Rattus norvegicus: one gene and its partner. Each later gene encodes a partner of the first gene's protein in a complex. Links are inferred from orthologs where the notes say so. Each region holds a gene or a part of one and is shown on either strand. Other genes may lie near its edges.

The links.
Region 2: the proteins of Gigyf1 (region 1) and Tnrc6c are in contact, whole or in part, in a crystal structure (PDB 7RUQ), measured with the Homo sapiens proteins. The link is inferred for Rattus norvegicus from reciprocal best matches to the Homo sapiens genes GIGYF1 and TNRC6C. Residues at the interface, in NP_001362694.1 of Homo sapiens: Tyr479, Asp481, Pro482, Gln487, Phe490, Trp498, Tyr503, Phe504, Leu508; in NP_001136112.2 of Homo sapiens: Arg1719, Pro1720, Pro1721, Pro1722, Gly1723, Leu1724, Thr1725.

The regions. Positions count from the first base shown.
Region 1 is NC_086030.1:24,805,492-24,809,015, forward strand, and holds part of Gigyf1 (GRB10-interacting GYF protein 1), read right to left. Parts: intron 3,451-3,524; coding exon 3,410-3,450; intron 3,274-3,409; coding exon of another isoform or gene 3,272-3,273; coding exon 3,107-3,271; intron 2,919-3,106; coding exon 2,665-2,918; intron 2,581-2,664; coding exon 2,472-2,580; intron 1,572-2,471; coding exon 1,440-1,571; intron 1,298-1,439; coding exon 1,194-1,297; intron 1,039-1,193; coding exon 867-1,038; intron 757-866; coding exon 590-756; intron 455-589; coding exon 354-454; intron 276-353; coding exon 159-275; intron 31-158; coding exon 1-30. UniProt on the Homo sapiens protein: May act cooperatively with GRB10 to regulate tyrosine kinase receptor signaling. May increase IGF1 receptor phosphorylation under IGF1 stimulation as well as phosphorylation of IRS1 and SHC1.
Region 2 is NC_086028.1:103,410,802-103,415,192, reverse strand, and holds the start of Tnrc6c (trinucleotide repeat containing adaptor 6C), read right to left. Parts: upstream 2,873-4,391; coding exon 2,810-2,872; intron 1,802-2,809; coding exon 1,780-1,801; intron 1-1,779. UniProt on the Homo sapiens protein: Plays a role in RNA-mediated gene silencing by micro-RNAs (miRNAs). Required for miRNA-dependent translational repression of complementary mRNAs by argonaute family proteins.

The DNA of each region.
Region 1 (3,524 bases):
ATTGTCGGGAGCAGGTTCTGGTCCCCACCTCTGAGAAACAAACCACTGGTCCTCAGGATACCGTTCTCTTGTGGCCTGCCCTCCTCTACCTCATACCAGCACACGCATTTACACTCTTACACACACCACTTCAGACACGGGCTGGGACTGTGACAGACCTGGGGGTTTTGAGAGCCTGGAGCTGCTGCAGGAACGTAGTGAGCTGCTGCTGCGGCGGCGTCAGGTCCCCCATAGCTGCCTTTTCCCGGAGTGTCGCACACTGCGGGAGCTGGCGGCTACAGACATACTGGGCTCAGACAGTGGACCCCACAGGGCCACTGCCTTGTCCACAGCAAGCCCCTGGCTCCCCATACCTGCCAACCAGCTGCAGAAAGTGCTGGTGCTGCAGCTGCTGGTACAGGGCTGCCGCAGCCAGCTCCTGCTGCTTCTTCAGCCGCTCCTGATCCATGTTCCCCTGTGGGAGGCCAGAGCATGCCTGTGAGGGAGCCCAGCAGGAGCATGCCCAGCAAGCAAGGTGGTGGGGAAGCCTGCGGTCCTGCTGCTGCCCCCACTGGCCTTCCCTGCAGCCTGCCAGGCAGACAGTGCTCACCAGCAGCGGGGGTGGCGAGGGCCCTGGGGCAAAGGGCACACGGCCCCACATCTTGATCACCTCTCCCAGAGGCTGGAAACCCTCATCGCAGCCCCTCTTCACTAAGAGGGACATGGAGAAGTAGCCAGCCTGGAACCACTCAGCCATCTCCTGGGTTGTGAAAGGGCCTGGAACAAGGGCGTCAAGAGGGTTAGGAGGTGGCCGCGGCATGGTCAGAGGGCACGCTGAGATCTGCCTGAGCACCAGAGAGTCCCAGCAGTCTGCTACCCGATGCTACCTTGGATCTCTCCCTGTGGGTCCTTGTAGAACCACTTTCGGGCAGCGCCATGGCTGAGGGGAAGGGCAGTGGCGGCTGTGGAGTGGCGTAGGCCCTGGGTCTGCATGGCAGCAGTGAACTGCTCCTCCTCCAGGGAGCTGTCCTGCAGGGAGGCCACCAGCTTCTCTGCCTCCTATAAGTCCAGGAAGAAAGGCAAGTCTGAGCCGCCTCAGGAGGCTGGGCTTGAGGGCAGGCCAGAAACCCTGTCAAAGAAATCTGGGACACATAAGACAAAGTGCTCTGCAACCCTGGAGGGGAGGCCCCGAGCATGCACAGGCACCCCCAAACCTGTTGCAAGTGCTTCAAGCCTTCTTCATCTTCTAGGTCTGCAGGCGGGCCTGCAGGAGGGGAACTGATTCTTGGACTTAGAGGCAGTCCCCTCATCTCGTCTCCTGGGAAGAAATGGGAAAGCAGGGAGGGGTGGAGAAGGGACAAGATGGCTCCTGTAGCTTCTAGGAAAACAGGCGGTTGCTACTACTGCCCTTCACCAGCCACGCCCTGTCACTCCCTTCTGCACAGCTCAGGCCAGCCTACCTTCAGCCGGGGGCAGCTCTTTCTCCACTGCCTCACCATCTTCATTCGCTGTCCAGAGAGGGCCCAAGGCAGGCAGTGAGGATGGGGAGCTCGACTTCTCTGAAGGAGGCAATGGGGTCACTTCCTTCCCTCCTGGAAGAAACAGATGATTACTAGAACGCAGATGCAAAAGAGCTGGGGCCACGGAGCTGGCTGGATGCATAAAAGTGCTTGCTTCCCAGGCATAAGGACCTTGGGTGAAATCCCAAGAACCCATATAAAAGCCCCATGTGCTAGCTACCATGTCTCTGTAATCCCAGTTCTCCTATGGAAACATGGAAGAGACGGAGATCTGCCACAAGTTTGTAAGCCTACTTCAGCAAAAAAACAAACAAACAAACAAAACAACAAACAGACAAAACCCCCCACAGACCCTACCTTAAACAAGGTGAAAGGCAAGGACCTATGCCCACGGTGTCCCCTGACCTGCCCACATACACAGGCAGAGTAAAACCGCAGGGGACACGAGTCAGCATGTGCATGGCTCCATGGCCTTGGACAGTAAGTCTATCCTTCTAACCCTGGTCAACACCCTAACTGAGCATGAGCACAGACTCGAGAACCACACACCCGCCTTCATTAAACACACTGACTCCCGGCTCTGCTGTGAGAGATGGGAGGAACCACATGTAAGGAGGGGCTCTGTGGGCACCTGACAAAGGTTGCTCTCCTACACCGGACCCTAAGACCCCCAACACCTCCCACCCCCGGCACACACAGCACATGTGACATGTGCTGCAGGTTAGAGGACAACTTGGTTCTTCTCCCTTATGATCATGTGGGTTCCAGGGATTGAACTCAGATCATGGCTTGGCGGCAAGCCCTTTTACATGCCAAGCTGTCTCACTGCTCCTGCCTTAACCCTTCTAAGTGGCCTGACCTTACAGACAGACAGGTGGGCAGTCAGTAGCCAGGTTGGTAACAGATCTCTCTGCCAACCTGCCCGAACCCAAGATTCTCAGAGCTCATTCCTGCAACGCTCTAAAGGCTCACCGGCCTCAGGCCCCTCTTCATCCACCCCATCTGATGGTTCCTCTTCCTCTTCCTCCAGGCCCTGGAAATCAAGCTCTTGCTCCTCTGGAATAGGTTCCTTGGGGCCCTTCTGTGTGGGAAAGGGCAGAGTGGACATAGTGGGAGGGTGGCTGGAGGACAGCTTCTGCCAACCCCAACTGGTCCAAGACAGTACCTTAAGAGGCAGGAAGGCTCCAGAAGCATCAAAAGTACCCATCTCCTCATCCTCATCATCCAGGCACCACTCTGGGAGCCCATCCTTGTCATCTTCAAAGCCATCCAGCCCCCGGCATCTTCGGAGGTGTGAGTTGCCTCCCCCAACTCGCCCATCTTCTTCACCACAACCTCCGCGTTCCCCTCGCAAATCAAAATCAAACTTGCGCCTCCGCTCTCCATGCTCCCGCCAGCCAGCAGAGCGGGGACCACCGTCTGAAAGAAAGTTAGAAAAGGGGGGAAAAGCTCCAGTGTTCAGCCATATCAAGACCCACCTTCTCTGGCTCACCAGGCCTTCCCAACTAGCATGGCTTCCTCTGGAATTTTCTCATTCCTCCCGTGCAGGGCCACCTCTTCCCCAGTATCACCAAGATATCCTGAACCCCACCTTGCTCCCATCTTACCAGGACTGGTGGAACGCCAGCGATCACCATCTCGCCGGGGTCCTGCCCCAAGTCTCCAGCTGCTATCATCCTCTTGCTCCTCTCGAAGTGAGCGCCAATTCTCACTGTCTGAGCGCGCATGCTCCTTCCTCGGGCCAGCCCCTCCCTCCTCAAAGCCAGATCGTACTGGCACAGGGGAGACAAACAGTAAATACGGAAGAGCCTCAAGATAGCTTACTCCAGTCTCTCTCCCACACTCTACCTGGGAACCCCATCTCGGCTGCCTCCCTACCCTACTGGCCACCACATCCAGTACTCTCATACCTCCATCCCTCCTTGCAGACTTCTCAAACCGCCTCTCACCTCTGTGGAAGAAAGGCGCTGGTCAAAACACACACATCATCATCCCCTCCTGAGGGGACTAGGGGCTGTTAGGCTA
Region 2 (4,391 bases), on another chromosome or scaffold:
TGTACAAGACTTTAGAGCCTTTATAATTCTACGACACAAACAACTGTGTTTAGGACAAATCCAAAGGCCACATACAGCTACCAACAAACTGTTCCCCCAAAAAAATCAGCAACTCAGGGGAGATACAAGAAGCTGGCAGTCAGTAATCCCCAGTACAAACACTCATCAGCATAGTAACAGAAACCAGTAATTCCACAAGGGGCAGGAGATGGATTTCAGTCACCACACAGTTGTGAGCAGTCACAGCCTGAGAAGTAAAGAATCATAAATGACAATGAAACAGGTTGTGAAAATGGGACACACACACACACACACACACACACACACACACACACACACACGAACGAGGGGTGGGGAGGATATCAACAGTGTAGGACGAGTCCCACATTTATAAATGGCAGTAAAAACCACTGTTTTATTTGAGATCATAAATTCAGATACAGCCATAGCCAGTCCTTTTGGAGCCTTCTGAAAAGATTCTAACAGAGCAGAACCCTGCTGCTTCTAATGCCCATTACCAGCAAACCCATCTCTAGGAACTAAGACTAAGGACTAACACACAGGGTCAAAGCTGTAGTTCCACTAGTTCTGCATTTACTAATAGAAAAACCAACAACTTAATCTAAGTCCTGCTCAATTATGAGTTCAGATTCTACACATAATTTTGATATTAAAACTACAAGATGCCAACTAGATACGAAGTATTACTACAGAGCAGCTGACAGAACTTTTGCAAAAATCCTTATGATGTAAGCATCTGCATGTGCAGTTGTGTGTCCACGGGAAGACAAAAGAAGGACATGCCAGTCAGTGCCACAGCCCTCCACTGGACCCCAGCGACACTCCAGCTGCCACACTACCCTTCCCGTGTGGGCTGGCTCATCTGTCTGTACAGCAGCCCTAGCAGGCAAGAGCAATCCATCGACTTCTCTCATTTTAAAGATGTGGCACCTGAAGATTAAAGCAGCACCTTGCACGATGGAACAGAGCTGGCCTCTGTGACCCACGGCATGTGCCTCTCCTAACCGTCCCTATGGACTCAGGTATGAAGGTGGGCGTCTGGGAGTACAGCTTCCCTGAGCTTAGCATACTCAGCACGCCTGAGCTACATCCACTGAGAGCTGCCTGTGTTCCCACCGACACTGTCAAAACAACAGGCCAGCCAGCTCTGGAAAGAAAGACGCCTCTGACCATCAGTAAGAGAGAAACAAGCTACACTGCAAGAAATAGATGGCAGCAAGGACTTTCAAGCTTTAAAAATATTCAGTTTTCTTTGGGTCTTCTTATTCCTGAATTTGATCCTTATTTGGTGGGAATCAAATCAAAAGGAAATTTTAAAGTGTTGTTTAAAATGCAGATGACATTTTCTAGGCAGTTTTATATTAACCTAATGACAATGAAAAAAACACAGAATAAAATCAGTCATAAATGAAGAGCTTCACAATGTATACTGAAAGTACAATAGAAGACAGTTAGAGCCTCTGTTTTCACCCACCAGGTATCAATTAACTCCAGGCTTGATACTCTTGCAGAGGACCTGGTTCAGTTTTGGGCACCCACATGGTGGCTCACAACTGTCTTAATTCCGGTTTTAGGAGATCCAAGGCTCTCTTCTGGCCTTTTGGACATTGCACACACTTGGTGCACAGACAAACATGCAGGCAAAATACCCATAAACATAAAATAAATTTTACAAAAGTCACACCATTGCAAAGTTTGAAGCTACTATAAAAAGTATTCCCCTCACAAAATATATTATTTAAAAAAAAAAAAACTTACCTTTGGTTTTTTGATCAGCAGCCTGAAAAAAAAAAAAAAAAAAAAAAAAGAGAAACTTTTTAGAGACAATTGAATGCAATGTCCACACTGATGAAGGTTTATAGGCAGACTTTTAATTATTTTAGGGTTTTTTTCTTAGTTTCTTTGAGACATGGAGCCTTGACTGTCTTGCAATTTACTGCACAGACCAGGTTGGCCTCAGTCTTACAGAAATCTGCCTGCCTCTGTTTTCCTTTCATTTTAATTTGGGGGTCGGGGGGAGCAAGCAAGTGAGTGTGAGTGACTATTGGGACTAAAACTTTTAATTCTTAAAATTTTAAAAGCAAACCTTTTATTTAGCTAATTTACTACTGAGAAAAATCCTACTCTGACCACAGGACAGTGCTAAGTTAGTGACTGGCAAACATTGTAATGGACACTATCTGAACTCCCTGTGTGTCAGTCTAGAAGGATCCTTCCAATCTCACGGCTCAGTACAGAGATGAAAGCAAGGGTGGGTAGTATAATTTGGCTATTTTACATGCCACAAAATAAAAAATATGACTATAAGGTTTAAATTAGAGCTCTAAAAAACAGAATTTTTTTAAAAAGAAAATATTTCTAACTGTTGAGTCATCTCTCCAAACTGGTTTACAGAACTTATTTATTTATAAGGATTTATAAAGAATGTTTACTAAGACTGTAACAATTATTTCCAGCTTTTCTAATACTGTCAGTTTCCTGGTTCTCCCTGATGTCTCGATAGGCTGCTGTGGGTGGGCTGGGCTGGGCGGTCCATTCTCAGGAGGCAGCAAGAGCGTTCTTTACACAGAAGCTGCGCTGCCCTGGACACAGCTTCAGTACGCCTGACGCTGTAGAAAAGACCTTCTGTAACCGGCACTCTGTACTCGCCTCACTAGCCAAGTGTCTATATTTACTCATTCCAGACTCGGCATATTGACGTAAAACAGTACTAGAATCAACCTTGGACATGAGACAGCCATGTTGATGCAGACATGACATGGAGGACATGGAAGGAGTCCTAGCAAACCTTTTTCTGAGCACCTTCCTTCTTTTTCTTGTCTTCCTGCTTTTTCTTTTTCTTTTCTTCCATCAAACGTTCCTCTTCTTGTGTTTCCTGTTCTTTTACCCTATTAAATATTTAAGAAGCAGTGTTAGTATGATGACTACTTTAAAGCCAATGAAGAAGTAAAAAAGCAACCAGGAGTGAGGGCACAGGACTGTAATTCCAGCTGTCTGGGAGGCTGAGGCAGGAGAATCACAAGTTTAAGGCCAGAGTGGCCCACAGGCTAACCCCTAGACTAACCTGTATGTAGGAGGGTGCTGCCGCCATAGCTCAGGTGCTTGTAGCCTTGTACGTGAGGCCCTGGGTTTGAAACTCCACACTCAGGATACAGGGCAGGGATATTATTTGTGCACAAAGTCTTGATCTAGACAATGTCATCAACATGATAGAGCCACTTTGAGAGGAGTCAGAAATGGAGGTTCCCCTCCAGTATGACAGCTGCTGCCCTGCTTTTTTGTCAAGTGGCTTAGCTGTCTCGTTTGTTCTGCCCACAACTGTGGAGAAATCGACTAGTGCAGGGCTTTGTGTGGGGTCTACAGAGTAAGGACACTTAGTGCTGTCTCAGAGACTGCCATCACTGGGGCTCCCTATTAGAAATGATCTGTGATTTCTATCCAACTCATCCAACAGATCAGGCTCTGTGGAGGTGATTCCCATGTATGCTCTAACTTCATGTTTGTCTGACACGGATTATCTTTTTATACAGAGCCCTGTTCAGCTGGAGAGCTATTACAAGATATGCAACATGGAAGAACTCTGTTTTAAAAAGTGAAGACAGCTAACACCTAGGCTGTAGTGCTATAGCTAGCCCAAGTGGTGTGCATGCATCAGGGGTCACTATCTCTTTCCTGATGGCTCCATGCTCTCCCAGTAACACAGGCTCTGGCCCTTCTTTCAGTCAGCACCATGGGGAGTTGCAGGAGGAAGGACCCTCTTGACACCTGTTACCGTGGCACTGTGAGGTTAGTATGTGGGTTTGAAGCCCAGATGCTGGCTGGTTACAGGCCTAGGCTTAGCATGGGCAACCTTGGCTCTGGCAGCCTAGCATCCCATCCAATGGCACTCTTAGCACTGAACTAATTCCAGTCCCTACTACTAGCCACCTCCCAACTGTCTCTCATGGGACTCCTCCTCACACACACACCGGACTCCAGGTCTGCTGCACCAATAGTCCACACACACCTAGCCATCCATCAACACGCCCAGGGCTCCTTTCCAATAGGAGCACAAGCTGAGGGGCTACTGGCTGTGACTGGCTTGCATTCTGCATGTGCTCTAGTTGAAGAACAGGTAGTTAGCTTAAAGTGCTTCCTGGTGCTCATTCAGCAAATCTGTGCCATGCCCTGTGAATGTGCGCCAGCTTTCCAGTGGGGCTTCCCTTCTTAGCCGGGGCTTCATCAGCTTAGGGTTCATGCCGCTTCTGTAGTTAAGTCTTCATTTGTTTGTTTGCTGAGACAGGGTCTCAGTATGTACTGGCCTGGAATTCAGTAGACAGACTAGACTGGCCTCAGACTTAAAGATTGCCCCTGCCCCTGTTTCCTGAGCA